Linked DNA regions of Struthio camelus. The protein of the gene in region 2 interacts with the protein of the main gene of each other region in a pairwise test. Links are inferred from orthologs where the notes say so. Each region holds a gene or a part of one and is shown on either strand. Other genes may lie near its edges.

What was found.
Region 1: the proteins of RCHY1 (region 2) and AIG1 interact in binary tests that used the Homo sapiens proteins (3 or more experiments, as listed by UniProt). The link is inferred for Struthio camelus from reciprocal best matches to the Homo sapiens genes RCHY1 and AIG1.

Annotation. Positions count from the first base shown.
Region 1 is NC_090944.1:76,799,618-76,807,342, forward strand, and holds the start of AIG1 (androgen-induced gene 1 protein), read left to right. Parts: upstream 1-4,681; 5' UTR 4,682-5,024; coding exon 5,025-5,165; intron 5,166-7,725. UniProt on the Homo sapiens protein: Hydrolyzes bioactive fatty-acid esters of hydroxy-fatty acids (FAHFAs), but not other major classes of lipids. Show a preference for FAHFAs with branching distal from the carboxylate head group of the lipids.
Region 2 is NC_090945.1:5,684,424-5,692,284, forward strand, and holds the start of RCHY1 (RING finger and CHY zinc finger domain-containing protein 1), read left to right. Parts: upstream 1-4,859; 5' UTR 4,860-4,909; coding exon 4,910-4,966; intron 4,967-5,084; coding exon 5,085-5,204; intron 5,205-5,393; coding exon 5,394-5,509; intron 5,510-5,882; coding exon 5,883-5,961; intron 5,962-6,466; coding exon 6,467-6,511; intron 6,512-6,612; coding exon 6,613-6,671; intron 6,672-7,685; coding exon 7,686-7,712; intron 7,713-7,861. Other genes in the region: CDKL2 (cyclin-dependent kinase-like 2), read left to right, coding at 106-165. UniProt on the Homo sapiens protein: E3 ubiquitin-protein ligase that mediates ubiquitination of target proteins, including p53/TP53, TP73, HDAC1 and CDKN1B. Mediates ubiquitination and degradation of p53/TP53; preferentially acts on tetrameric p53/TP53.

The DNA of each region.
Region 1 (7,725 bases), on a different chromosome or scaffold from region 2:
GCCTTTTCACTTTTGTTCTCTTTTTTCTCCATCTTTCCATTTTTATCCTTTACATCTGTGCAGAGTAAATTTCCTTATTTTAACAACATATATAGAGAATAAATAAATAAAAACTTGCCTAAAGTTTAATATTACTATTAACAATGGGCCCAGTCACAGCAGATGAATGACTGCCTTAGCAAAGATTTTGTGTTGAATCCTCCTCTGGTATGTGTGGTTACCTACTACCTTCAGTGATAATTCACCTGACTGCAGAACTATATATATTGCATATATACATGCATATGTAAAAAATACACATTTAAGAACAGTTCTAAAAACTCTTCTTTCTTAGGCATGGGCAGGCTTTTCCTCAATACTTGCCTGTGCGGTTTTATTTTATAATGTTTCCAATAATTACACTTACAGCCATTGCAAGAAAAGCTTAATCTTTGCATATCTGCTTGGGTAGAATCAAAGGGAGTGACACTCCCAAACATTCAAGTACACTTATGTCGGCACAGTTTGTATACTCTACCTTAAATATTAGAAACTGCAGTATCAGGTGCATCATCATGAACACACTGTGATGAGGCAGTAATCACGAATTTCCTATGAGTTCAAGCATGCATTATTATGGATTATTCTTTGAAGGTAACTGCTTGTGGCATAATTCCTTGTAAACAACTCATTTCCATATAAACCACCTACTTAAGAAAAGGCACCTCCTTGCTCAGGTCTCAAAACACCTTTCAAAGACCATTCACGAAATTATTCTTTGATATTCACAAAACACAATGCTGTCCAGAAAATCAGTTGCAGTTCCTTTAGAAAAGAACAGCAAAACCCCTCTTAAGCATTCTCATCTGCTAGCCTGCATAGAAAAGATTAAAACTTGGACTCCCAAGATGTTACCTTATTCTGCCTAAGTGGCAAAACAGCAAAAACATCATGCTTCACTGATTTATAATAACAACTGGATGGGAAACCCACCTTTTCAGTCTTTTCCATTCAATCCTCTGACATATTTGCAGGCATCTTGCTTCCTCCTCCCTGTAGTAGATAGCATTGCTTAACCTCCCCCATCCCAGAAATACCAGTGCTTCTGACACGCTTTCCTGTCTAAAACACTTTTCCATCTCCACTCTGTGACTAGTATGACCTATGTCAAACTCTCACACTTTCCAATGAACTTATATCATGTGACTTATGAAAATTTAGTTGTGGTTATGCACAATTTACATATATGCAAATATTTAAACATCAGGACCTGAAAAATCAGGGAATAGCCTTGCATATCATCTATTAAATGCTTATAGTCTACCTTACTAAGATTTATGGATTTGATCAAAAGCCTGAAATGTAAACATTTTACAAAGTACTGAAAAGTTGCAATCATATACCAAGATAAAGAATAAATTATCAAAATTACACATTTTTACTTTGCTGAAAAAATGTAAGACAAAATCCTCCAAGGAAAGCAAATCCACTTCAAATGTATTTCAATCACAGTCACAAAAGACTATGCTGCTTGTTTCTCAATAGCTGGGGAGTATAAACTCCACTATGGCACATAAGAGGAAAACGGCAGCCTACAATCTAATTAGCCTTCATTATAATACTGTTCAGAGATTCAACAGATATGCCTTTTAAAAGGACACATGCACAAAGGACCCACCCACAAAGGAGTTAAGTTTCCTTTCAGAGGTCTAGAAATGCTAAACAAAGAAGAGCCTTTGCTAGGAAGAAGCTTGGCTGAGCCTGGAATGTTAGCTAACCTGTCTTGAAAGAAGAAAATGGGGAACAAAAGTGTTTACATATTCTGCTTCACTTAAAATTTCACCTTAGTTTACAAGGCTGGGTGAATGTTTTTCTTCATGCAAGGCTAGGATTTTCTGTGAGCTTTACTGACGTCTCTGTGGAAGAGCGGAGAGTAGAATTGAAGAAGCATTCAAAATAGGGCTCTCAAAATGGGTAGTTTTTCCCTTTTTAAAAAGTTTTAAGGATGCTGAAACTCTGCAAGATGTGTAACCACATGTGACTTGAAGGATAACTGGGAATGGCAATTAGTAAGTGATGTTCAGTGAGTACTGTTTGTGGTGACACGTTAGCAACGTTCAGGTGATCCAAGGAGTGAGTTCCCCTACACAGCAGCAGGAGGTTGCAGTTAGAACAGTAGAAGACATAAACTGTCTAAGAATTAGACAACCCAAAGAACTCCATGTCGGAGGCTGACTGCAAGATATGAGCATGTACATGCATATGTTTGTAATCAGTCATGCTGTAGTGGCCCACATGGAGCCTGTTTTTAAAAGCTTATAAAGCTCAAGTCCAGCGAGAACTGCGTACTAAGAGTGCCTCTACACTAGCATTATAGTTCAGATCAACAACGCACTTTAGAAGTAAATCTACTGATCATCTGCACTCATACTGTTCTGCTTTGGTTCATATCATGATATAGGCTTAGAATGCAAGCTGGATTCCATCTGGATAAAAACAAAAGCAGAAGATATACTCTAGGCGTTCACTTAACGCACTCCAGCCATTAATGAGCATTTAGTCCACAGGTCCAGGTAAGAACTAATCTGCAGTAAAGCCCCTTGCAATACACACAGCACAGACATCAGATTCCTAGCAGCAACTGGTGTACTCCATAGATCCATTTGTACTGGGGCACGCTATTAACCTTATTTGTCTGGTCTTCTATGTATTGTAGGCCACAACGTTTTATCCAGATACCTCTAATGCTGAACATTAAGTCTTCAATGAAACTGAACTCTTTTGATCTGTAAGACTAAAATACATACCACAGACAACAGAAAGGTCTGAATGCCTAATGTGCTTGCTGTGGCTGTAAACTGATAGGTAAGATAACCTAACGATCTAGCACGAAACTCATGCTCCACGCTCCTAGAGGATTCTTTGTGCGTGCCTGAAATACAATTCCTCCCCATAAGCAAATAACTTAAATTGTGCTAATTTCTTTTAGGATAGGTGCTGGCACGTGTTCCCCTAAACAATCCTTCATTTTTTCAGAACTTGAACACGGTAGATACCTGATTAAGAGGTCTTGTGTCTATGTGACGAATAAAAGTAGGGAACACATTGCAGAATCATTGATTCTTTTTGCCTTCCAGTATCATAATTATGATAAAGCCACTTCTTGTTCAAATATTTATTGCAAAGGACAGATGTATGGAGACGTTGTTTAGAAGTCATTTGTGTAATTCAAGCCCCAATATCACTGCTACTTAGTGTTTTTCCTTCTAAAATAACTTTTCCAGCTGGTGGAGCAATTAAACTAACTCTCAAGTCAAACACTTTAAGAACCTATCCTTTTTAGGGTGAAGAAGTCCAAGCACAAGACCTCCTTAACTGCAGCTGCTTATAACACCAACAATCCCTTCAGTGGTCAAACCTCTGCTGACGGAAGAAGCTCTCATTCATTGCCCTTAGACAAAGGCAGGTATCAATACTAAACCCTGAAATTACACCAGTGCTCACTTATCCAGGTATTGTCTTTCACTTGATTTCTCTTTCATGAGTTCTTTCAGTGTCCTTCTACTTATTTTATTTGCTCCTGGAATAATGAAACAGGAGGTGGTTGGTCTCAAGGCCCCCTCAGAACATGACTGGCACTGCAATTCAAGTCCTTCCTGTTCCAAGACTAGCTGTTTCTGCTGGTAAGTGCATTTTTGGCCTTCTCAGGGAGAAGGCAGCCATCACGAGTCAGAGCTGAGGGCATGAACCTTCCTAATGACCTCCTGGTCACTGGGAAATTATTACAAAGAGGTTAGTTACAACCAGTAACAGCACAGATATCGCACCCAACATTTTAATACTGGGATAATGAGGCCACAACTCCAGGTGTTTGCAAGTATTAGGAAGCACACCTCTAGCAATTGTTTGTGTGTACGTGTGTTGGATATAAGCAAAACAAGTGGGAGGCTTGCTGCTAAGAGACATGAAAGACTTGAGGGTTCCTCAAAAGTATACACAAAAGGATTGTGAACGGTTCTCAACACACAGCAGAGGTCATATGAACCAAGAGCATACCATAACTGTGGAGTTACAGCTCAACCGGTGTTTATCAGGTGGGCTCGCTTGTGCGTTTGCTCGGCCACAACTGTCTGCGCCTCCCCCCACACACCACCGCTGCCACTGCCGCCGCCTGCTCGCACCGAGGGCCGTTGGGGGTGACACCTGCTCTAACCGCCGCCGCGCGCTGCCACCCCGCAGCGGATTGGCTGAGGCGCGGTCAGCTGACCGCGCCAAAGACCCCGCCTGCCGCCGGCTTGCTGCAACGGCTGCTGGGCAACGGCCGCTGGGCCCTCTCCCCCCCCACGGGCGGGCAGGCAGCGGCGGGGGGGGGGGGTGCAGTCGCCCCAGGAGCGCGTATGCGAAACAGCAGTTCATTGCACAGTAATTACAAAACGTAATTGCAGGTGGGAAGGATAGCGCCTGAATTTTCCTTTTTTTTTTTTTTTTTTTGTTTCTAGTTGGGAAATGAACGCGGGCCGCCAAGCGCTGACAGGGGTTTCTTTTACCACGCGCAAGTTCGCAAATACGCGCATTCCTTCCCGGCTGGGCGAGCACGCCTGAGGGACGCGCGTCCCTGGCGGGAGGGCCGTGTCCCCCCCCGGCCGCCCCCGGACCCACCTGCCACCGCAGGCCCCGCGGGGCAGCGGCAGCGCAGGCGGGCGGGCCTGGCCCCGCGGCCCCTCGGCAAGCGCACGGCTCCGGCCCGGCGACGGAGCCGCGGCTCGGGAGCGCGCCGACACGAGCAATAGCGCCGGCTCCGCCGCTCGCCGCCGCCTGCACCGCTCCCCCCCGCCCCCGCTCCTCCCCGCCGCAGCCGCCGGCCGCCTCGGCCCCGGCAGGACACCCGCTGCCGCACAGCGCGGCCGCTCCGCTCCACCCCGGCCGGGGCGCGGGGGCACACACTCATAGACACACACGCACGGAAGCGCAGCCCGACCGCCGCCGCGGAGGCCGGCCCTGCAGACACACACACACACGGAAGCCGGCCCTGCGCAGCGTGCAACATGGCGCTGGTGCCCTGCCAGGTGCTGCGCGCCGCCATCCTCCTGTCCTATTGCTCCATCCTGTGCAATTTCAAGGCCATTGACATGCCCGCGCATCAGACCTATGGAGGCAGCTGGAAATTTCTGACCTTCATAGACCTGGTAAGTCGTTCCCCCCCTCACCCCGTCTCGCCCCGGCCCCCTGCCCCCTCCGCCAGGCCGCCCGCCCAACGGCCGCCGCCGTCGCCGCGCGCGTGGGCGGGCCCGGCCGCTCGCGGCCCCCCGGCGCGGCCGCCCCGCTCGACGGCAGCGCCATGAGGTGACCTGAAAGCGGGACGGCGACATGTTGTGACTCCCGGGCCGGCCGTTGAGAGGAGCCGGTCGGAGACGACGGCCGCGGAACCGGGTGGTTTGGAAGGAGAAAGACACGGACAAAGCCGAGGAGCTGTTGTGTGCAAGCGGGCCGCGGCGGCACGGAGCCCGGTGGGCAAAGTGCGCCCGCCGCCCGGTCACAGCAATACTTCTCCCGTGTTTCACCCTTTTTTTTAAGGGATGACAGCAAACACCAGAACCTGCTGGTCCCAGTATTTGGCTCCAGCCTCCTCAAGCGTGCTGTCAAAGTAGAAAACATGCCTTGTTCCCTTTGGCCCACCAGAGGAATCGTTGCCCAGCAGGTGCTAGTGCGAGAGCAACACAAAACCCATTAGGCGACTCAGCTTGCCTGATCCAGTTAGCTTTGGTTCCAAACTCATAAACCGATCTATTAAACCAAAGATGTTTCTTTTCACCTTTCTTCATAAGGATTCAGATCTTGAACTGTCATGTGTGTAAGTCCACTGGGAACCACCTAGTGCTGCAGCTGAACCTTGCTGGTCAAGGGCTATTCTTGCCCCCAGTTTCATAGCCTTACCGCTTCAGTAACAGTGTTGCTTCTAGCGTACTTGGGAGAGGGGGTGGGAGGAAAAGAGGAAATGGCAGGAGACAGCTGGTTCCCGATTCAGAAATAAAATAACAACTTTCACCTTGCACCTCGACCAAAGCACTTTTTTTTCTATGAATCCACAGTATAATTAAAAAATACATTTTGTAGTTCCCACTGAGTTACAGAAAGTCTGAAAAAGTCTCTGTTTCGGTGATCCCTGATGATAAAACGTTTCTCAGTATCCCATTCTTATTTCACAAATATTGCTGCATTAACTGCCTACACACTTAATACCCAGTTAGTAGGTCGAGTTTGTGAATTTGAGTAGGTCAGGGGTGCAAATTTCTATGTCAGAATTAAGATAAGGTTCATTGAGCTCCTTTTTTTTTTTTTAGAGAAAAGAAACAACAACCATATTTTTTATTTAACCAAGGCTAGTTTTTTTGTTGGGTGCAAAAAATTATCTGGACCTTTGAGGATCATAGCCATTAGTGGCGCTTTTACTGCCATTGTAAAAAGGTGTCTTAAGGCCTGGATTTTTTCTGGAATGCAAACTAATGCCTAAGTTTGGTTATTTTTCCTTCTGGGCTGCTGAACAGTACCATCAGTGATACTGATTGATAGAGGTTAGAGTCAAATCCCATTAAGTTAGGGCAGAACTGTTGACTTCAGCGACAGTTGAATTGGATGTGAACCAACTAAAGTTAAAGCCGATGACCTTGTACTTGAGTCTCTTTCACGTTTTTCTCTGTTTTATATAGTTCTGACAGTCCCTGGAGGATTAAGTGAACTAAGGCTGTTTGTCATGCATTGAAAGTAACATTTGACAGTGCATGATATTATTTCCCAAGAAATTACAATCTGCTGTCTATGACAAGTTCATGTGGACTTTCCCGCCAAAGCATACACATGGGTCAGACTACTTCTGACATGGCCCAGAAGGTCAAGTAAATATGTAATGCTTTCTAAAACAAGGACTGGAACAGTTATCAACTCTAATTAGTCACTTCTGTCCTTTAGGTCATAGATGTCATGTGTTACCCATAGTCAAGTCTGATAGTCGAGAAAAGGTTAATAGTTCCTAATAGTCTAGATTCCTTCTGAATAGTGGTCACAACTACTTGAATGCCTTTCTTGGTGCCTAGCCAGAAAATTGCACTCTCCACTTGTTAACAATATTTAATTGTGTCCAAATACCTCTGGTAGCATCTTACCTAAGCAGATCTGTCTTTATGTCCTCTGGGACAACTGGGAGACTTCGCGAAACAAAATCCTGTTAGATTCCTGAGGAGGATTCCAGGAGTGGTTGGAGGATGCTAGGCACGCTTCCAAAATACTCTGTTAGCTAAGTCTTAAAAAGCTCGTCCATAAGTTTCAATTTCCTCAACCATGTGTCGTGTTCCTGTGTCAGTCATATTCAAAGTCTGTCTAGACAAAATATCAGCAATGCCAGAGTCTTGTCAGACGTGTGTTCTTGCTGCAGATTGTACCTCCACAAGCAGAGATTTCATCTTTAACATCACAGAGGCACGTAGACGTTCTTTCAGTTTCCAAAAAATGCTACCAGTTTTTGTGAAAGTGAGTTTATTAATTGATTGTGAAAACTAATATGGAATTTTTTCCATGTATCCAGTTGTAATGGTACATTCCACTCTCAGCATCAATGAGTGCCTCAGAGATTTAGATAGCTGGCTTTGCACAGGTGCTGTTTAGTTATTTGTGTGTAACATAATTTTGAATCAAATTATGAAAAACTAATCTAAACTCATATGAAACTCTAAAAACTCTAAAACTCCTTTA
Region 2 (7,861 bases):
TTTGTTGCTTGTTGGCATTGCACGTGCCCAGAGGACAATTTCCGATTGTCTCTATTACTACACTTGGAACTGACCCTCTCCTTGTTCTTCCTACCCAATTTACAGCTATCGGGGACCTTGATATCCGATGCATCAGAAGCCAGCTTCCCCAGAGTCGAGCATTAACCTGAAGGAGAATGGGATTACACCTGCCTCTAAAACGTAGGCTTTAATTTATGCAGCTTAGCCTTCTAGTGTCTTTCAAATGGATCATTTGATGAACGCTCATGCTAGTTGGGAGTTGCGCTGGGAGTGTTCTTTTATGCTTCACACTCTGGGTCACGGATACCTGGCTAGGACAGGTTTTTTTTAGAGGGCAGCACGGAACTCTTCCCTGATTCTGAAATGCGCCATGGCACATTGCAGGGCGAGTAAATGGTTTTCCCGAGCTGAGGTGCTGGGCATTGATGTTGGGATTAATCACCTCATGGATTTGGAGGCTGAGGAAGCTAATGGAGTGACAAAGAAGGAAAACCGGCTGGCTGCATGTGAGGGGTGAAGGAATGGGTTATATGCACAGCACTTTTAAGTGCACCACAGAAAATGGACTTGCAAAAGAGAGAAAAGCACTTTGGGGACCTGTTAAGTTTAACTCATGGAAGACTTTTAATAACTATATCATGCAATTTTACTCCATTAAAATGTATTAGTTTAGCTGTTGGTAGCTCAGTGCTCTCCAAGCATGACGTAGGGGTCTGGGAGAGAAGGAGGCTTTGGAGAAGTCATGACTGTAATAGATGTCTTAAGATTGAAGTGTGAAGTTTGAAGTCTACCACTCTGGACTTTCACTTAGAATTATATCCTATATTCTAGGTTGTTTTAGGCAGGCAGTCTTAAATGTGATTTTTTTTTTTTTAATAGACTCTAACTTTGCCCATGAAAAGAAATGTGGTTCTGTAGGTGGTTTTGTCTGAAAGAAAAGTCATAGAAAAGGCTGAGTTTCTTCTGTTGGGGTATTGTTCTCTTGTTGCTGTAATAGCTGAGCATCTACTTGGCAGTCGGTTGCATGTGCTGGGAGTTTCTCTAATTTGTCTTGAAAGTGAGAACTGCAGTGCTTTGCTTTGAGAGGATTTGTACTCTCATAAGCACCCATCTTGCTCAGCTCACTGAGGCTGGACAGAAGAACAGCGCCTTGCAGAGGGAGCAGAAGTTAGAGAGGATAACGGAGGAGCAGTGGAAGGAGGCAAGGTGTTTTGGAAGGGTCCTCAGAGGCAGTGCTCCAAAATCTCACTGGCTCCGTTGGAGCTCTGCGTCATGCATGGATGGGCTGTACTCAATGCTCTGGCTTGGATGTGATCACCTACATGCCCCGAGGTGACTCTCACTGTGGCCACAGAGACCACCAGGCACTTCAGCTTCCCTTTGGCCTTACCTGGTTTCACTGGAGCTGTTTTTAAATGTTTTGCTACAGATAGCTGTTTGTATGCCATAGGAGTACTGTTAATGTGCGAGTGCAAATTGTGCGTTGTAGTTTTATATTTTGGGCTCCTGTATGTGTCCTCCTTTTTGAGGAGATGGAGCAACTGTCTGCTCTGAAATCTATTTTTAGTCTTGTGTACAGATGCACTGGCTCTTAACCCACATGAGTGTTTTTGGCACTTGAATTCAAGTGATGCAATAGCTTAGTGCTATTAGGAAGGAAGAAGAAAAATTATTGGGGTGGGAAGCAATCCTGACAATATAAATGGGGGAAAAAGAAACGTTACTGAGGTTGGCTCATCTCTGAAACACAACTTTAGGGAGGTAAGGACACACACTAAACAGAAGTAAAGGAAGCATATTGCCATGGAATGCCCCTGTGCTTGTTTGCCCGTCTGTAACGTCACCCTGTCTTTCTCCTCTTGATGCAGGTGGCTGAAAGAGTGGGAACAGTCCAGCTGAGTCTCCAGGTGCTAATGCCGCATGGTTTCTGCGGAAGAGAGGAGAATCCCTTAACTCTCTTGTTAGCACAGTGGACTGCCATGGGGCGTGGCTCAGACTGAGTCCAAGGACAGAGCTCTCATTGCCGTTGCTGCTGGATTTCTTGCATGTGAAACAGTTCCTGAGATGTTGACTTCCTGGCTTAGGGCCAAGTCTTGACTGAAGTTGCTCAGAAAGAAGTGGTGGTTTATTGGTGGGTGACAGGGGCAGAAGTTGGCTTGGAGGATTTTTGAAGAAAGCGGGGGTTTCCTTTTGTCTAACTACTGCTCTCTTGAGAGGGTGTTATTCAATGAGAATATGAGAGCTGCTGAATTTGTTATATTTTGGTGAGCTATCTGGTCTGTATTGGAAAGCATCTTTGTCTTGGCAAAAATGTCCATGGGAAATGTTTGTGGAAGAAAGATATTGTTAAACATACAAATGTTCCTAACGGTTCCTTTGAAACCCTTGCTAACGCTCAGGAGCGTGCGTGCAGTTGTGTTAGGGTCCTTTTCCCTGGATACTCTCCCTCTCCAGCTTTTGGGCAGTTGTTTCTAGACGTTTAACTGGGCCTGTTGACTGGCTGCACTTGAGTGCATGTGTGACTCCTGTTAATGCTGAAGGAAGAGTTATCGGTATAACACGTTGAGCTGTGGAGCAAGTCGCATGTGAAATGGCTTCAGAGGAGTGGTTGGTAACTCATTCAATTCATCCGTCCTTTTAAGTATATCAGGCGGGGGGGGGGGGAAATGGGACATGTAACTGGAAACTCGACAGTGGAGTGTGGGGAGAAAAAGAACAGATCAGTCTTACCTTTGGACAGTTACAAGACCATTTTTATTTAACTGTTCTCAAGTTGACTTTAGTCAGCCTATGGTGTCCCTGTGTTGCTCTCGACGCTGTTCTTTGGCAGCTCAATGCTGTTGTTGCAGCTCAAACCCCTGTCTGGTGCAGTTAGCTTTGGAACTGTGTTGTCATTCCACAGAGCAGGGCCTTTCCCATCAGCATACCATGGCAGTGTGGGTGTCATCATATTTAGATCTTTGTGGCTATGCTATGTTCTGACATGTATATTTAAATTTTGTAAATAAAAGGATATTCAAATTCTAAACTCCTGGCTGCTAGTGTGTGTTTGCAAATGTAAGGTTGTGGTGACTCAAGTCTTCTCTGGGTTCAAACTTGGTATTATATCTGCTTATTTGTGCTGGTAGCATTGCCTGCACTGGAAAAGAGAGAGGATTTTTGGATCATTTTTTATTTAACAGCTGAGATACGATTGTTTTGTAACCATCTACAAGCACAGGTTCCTCTTCTCTGCATCATTTTAGATGCCTAGGGTCAGGGGGGGAATTAAACACATCAAAGGGCAAATGATGATTAGATGTAAAGATGGAGCCAGACTCTTCTCAGTGGTACCCAGTGACAGGACGAGAGGCAATAGGTGCAAATTGAAATACAGGAAGTCCCCTCCGGATAGCTTGTTTGTTTAAAATAAAATAAAATTAAAAAAAGGCACCACTTTCCTCTGAGAGTGGTTGGACACTGGCACAGGTTGCCCAGAGAGGTTGTGGTGTCTCCGTCCCTGGAGGTATTCAAAACCTGACTGGACATGGTCCTGGGCAACCGGCTTGAAGTGACCCTGCTTCAGCAGGGGGTTGGAGGAGAGATACCTTCCAACCCCAGCTATTCTGTGATTATTACAAATTGCTGCTGCTGCTCACTGCTGAAACAGTGTGTAGCAGAAAGCAACCACTATTGCCCCATCTTGTTTTTGTACACCCTGTGGTTTGGTAAGTGCGTTCACACTAGATTCAAACTAAAAATTATTAATTAGAGATGATGAGTTGATTTACTTTAACTAGCAGCTGTGCCATTAAATGTCCTACATGCCGCACTCGTACACTGGGTTTATATTTTTTAGAAAAAATGCGTGCTTCTGTCTTTCACTTTGTGCAAAAAGAAGCGTGCAGTTAGCTATGTGATAAGCACATTTAATGCACCCATGGCAAAAATAAAAAGCAAACATGATCTGAAACCCCTTTAACGCAGCCTTAAGGAAACTCACCCTGATAGTCTCCCTGACTGAGGGAGCTCTGTAGAGCTCCTGCCTCCTTGCGGTGCCCTGTGGCAGACCTACGCCTGCGGCTTTTGGAAGAAGACACCGAAGTTGCAAGAACTTTAGCATGCCCGTAGCCCCAGAATTGCATTTCTAGGAAGCAACGAGCTTTACAATTCTCTTTTCCTATGAGATGACATAAAGCTTGACTTGTTATCCTGCCTGGACCAAAGCTGCCCATTTCAGGTAAGGAAACTGGGACCCTGGAGCCAGAAACTGGGGGCTTACTCCAAATATTTTTTGATTATTTTTCAGTAGCTAAGGCCTGCCTAAAAAATCCCTATTAAAAAGCTAAGCCTCGAGAAGCACAGGTCCCTGGTTTATGGCATTTTCACGGGAGCGTTTGCCATGAATCCCTGCTCTTGCTTGTTGAAAATGCATACGTCGCGCTTCCTCACCTTCCCTTCCTTTAGGGAAGCCGGCAGCCACCTGGGCTCCAGTGCCGCAGCAAAGCAGAGGCAATCGGAAATCTCAGCAGCCTGAGGGAAGCCTTTGATGGGCCTTTTCCCCCAAAACCCTCCTCTTCCTTTCTGGAACAGAAGAGGGCAGAAGGAGGCTCCTTTTGGACAGGTGCCACAGCTGTCTGTGCCTCTGGGTATATGCACAGAGCTGCATCGCTGTGAAGGCATCCGCACGTATAGAGAGGCGCATGCGTGCACCCATACCGCGCGTGTGAATACGGATAGATCCCCGCACCGCGTCGACACGCATCACACACACCCCTCTCTACCACGTGCCTACCAGGGGCCGTGTGCGCAGGCGCCGGCCCCGTCCCCCGGCGAAGGCGGAAGTGGGGGGCGGAAGCGCGGGGGCGGGGCCACTGCTGGGGGGGGGGGGGAGCGGCAGTGCGCGGCCATGGCGGCGGGCGGCGAGGAGGGTTGCGAGCATTACCGCCGCGGTTGCCTGCTCCGGGTGAGGCGGCGGGGCGGGCGCCGCAGCAGCAGCAGCAGCAGCAACCGGGGGCGCGGTGGCGGCCACGCCGCCTCGGAGGGCTGGTCGCCGCCTGCTGAGGTGTCCCGTCTCGTTGCAGGCGCCGTGCTGCGGGAAGCTGTACGCCTGCCGGCTGTGCCACGACGGCGCCGAGGGCCACCGCCTGGACCGCTTCCGCGTGGCGGAGGTGCAGTGCGCCCGCTGCCGCCGCCTGCAGAAGGTGGGCACGGCCCGCGGCGGCCGCCATGGCGGCAGCGGCGCGGGGGCCGCCATGTTGGGGGGTGGGGGCCGCCATTTCGGGGGGGGGTGCGGCCGCCATGTTGGGCGGCGGCGCCGCGTGCCTAACGGTCGTCTCCTTTGCTTTCTCTTCGCTTCCTTTCCCCTCCCCGGGCCGGCGCGGCGGCGGCAGGCGCAGCAGAGCTGCGAGGGCTGCCACAGCCTCTTTGGGGAGTACTACTGCGGCATCTGCCATCTCTTCGACCGCGACAAGAAGCAGTACCACTGCGCCGAGTGCGGCATCTGCAGGTGCGGGCGGGCTGCTCCGGGGGGAAACGGGGCAAAAAAAAAAAAACGGCTTTCCGGAGCCCGGCGCTTGTGGCCGGGCTGTTGCCGTCGGGCGCCTCCTGCGGGTAAAAGGCACCGGAGCCTGGAGCTGCGGTCGGCTCGGCAGAGGCTTGCGCTTGTTCTTTGCAGTCTAAGCAGGCCCGTGTTTTACTTCAGTCGTGGCAAAACGTTGCTAAGAACGAGAGCTTGTCTGCAGTCCGTACGAATTACGGCTGTTCCGTAGGTAACTTGGCTTGGGAATTAGGCTTCTGTCACTTGGGGAGCGTTTGGGTGGAAAACAAAGCAGAGCCGTGCAAAGTCCTAAGCTGTTCTTGACTGGGCCTTGTCTCCTTAGGATCGGCCCGAAGGAAGATTTCTTCCACTGTTCAAAGTGTAATTTATGCCTAAGTTTGAGTCTTCGAGGGAAACACAAGGTGAGAATATACCACTTTGTCATTTTTAAACAAACAAAACAAAAATGTTTTTCCTGCAGTCAGAAGTGCCTCGAGTTGATCTAAGGCTATACAGATTGGGGAAGCGGCAGGCTCTCTCCTCCTTCTCTAAATGCGTCTTTCCTGAACAGCAACACAGAATGCTCCTGGGTGGGCTTTGAGCTACAGGATATATAAATATCAGTCATGTTCTTCTCTGCCTTCACTGCAGACACAGCAACACATCTGTTTGAGCTGCTGTTTCTGCTGTAGTATAGGAAGAGCTAGGCTATCTATGGTTGTGAGGGCCCTGGAAACAATTTCTTGCATGTTATTTCAAGCTAGTTTTTTTTTTTTTTATTAGACTAGAGTAGTTGTTAATTCTCAGAATTTCAACCCTAAATGAACAGAGTAAGGCTTATACCTCTTTATTTATTCTAAAGGAATTTTAGACTTTAAAAATGCAGCTATCTGTGCAGTAGAATAACTTTTCTTTGTTTTTGTAAAGTGCATCGAAAACGTCTCCAGGCAAGATTGTCCAATATGTTTGGAGGTGAGCTGCTTCTATTCAACTCTCTTAAAATTGTGTTTGCTTGTGCTTCTTGCTGTGTTTGTAGTTAATGGTTCTTTTGTGTACTATTTGTCTTGAAACAGGACATTCACACGTCTCGTGTTGGAGCTCATGTTCTGCCATGTGGTCACCTTCTTCACAGGTAAAGTATTTCAGAAATTTGAGCGTTGAGAGTACCTACTGCGTTGTGTGTGCTGTTGTCTCAGCGCTACGACAGGCCTGGTTGGTCTGAGTTATTACAGCTGGTTTCTAAGGGACCCAGGTAGTAGGAGACAGCCTGTATTTCATCAGAAAGTGCTTCCTTCAGAAAGGATAGCTTTCTTCCAAAGTCCAGTAAATCTTGTTGGTGGAGGGGCCTGTTTCCTGTTTATTTTGAGTTTTCCTATGTTGAATTTCCTTCTGTTACTGAAATCTAAAGAATCCCATAGAGAAATCTCTTCTTGGTGCAGAAAGCAGTTGCACAATGGGTTTAAGAGGCTGGTGCCAGTTCATGCATTAAGTCTTAAATTTTCTCCTTACACAGCCACCAGGAGCACTGAATGCTTTGTTTCTCTACAAAAACTGCCCGCTCTGTCAGGATTTTATGGTGTGGTAATATACAGCGCTGGGTGCCTCTGGAGGAGTAATTACAAGAAGGCCATGGGTTTCCCTTCCATCCTGCTCCCAGTGTAGCCTTGACGTGATGTTTTTCCTTTGTGCAGTGTCCTACAGAAACAGCTTCTTGTTGCTGTGTTGGCTTTCTTGGTTTTCCCCTTTGCCTCTGTGAGCTGATTTAACGGCCTCCACGTTTGACAATGTCAGGCCTCCCCAAATTGAACCTTCCTTTGATTCCTGTCCATCTTGAAGTTATCCTGTGATGCATCACAGCCTTTTTTTTCAGCGAACTGTAACCAAACCAACATTGTTGTATTGCCGACTCTGTTCTTTCATCTTACTTTTCAAGACATCAGAAAGGCATTAAACGTGCTTTGTCTCATGATTTTGCCTAAATACCAAACACTTTTCCTGAGAGGCCTTCTTTCCACTTTAACCCAGGATATTTTTGACTTCTGGTTTGGGGATAGCTGTGTGCTTTTCTCCTCCTTTCTGTCCACATGGGTTACCATTCAGTAATTCCACTTTTCTTACTGAACTTCTCATTGTGTTTTCTTTTCAGAACGTGTTACGAGGACATGTTAAAGGAGTAAGTATTTCTAACCCTTTCTTGTCTTTAAGATTGTAGTAATCTAGGCAGATTACTTGGGAGAGGCAAAGATCACGATGCCAATCCAGTACCCATTATTTAAAGGCAACTCCTAGGGGGAAAAGGGGCTTTTAATTTCCACCTCTTCT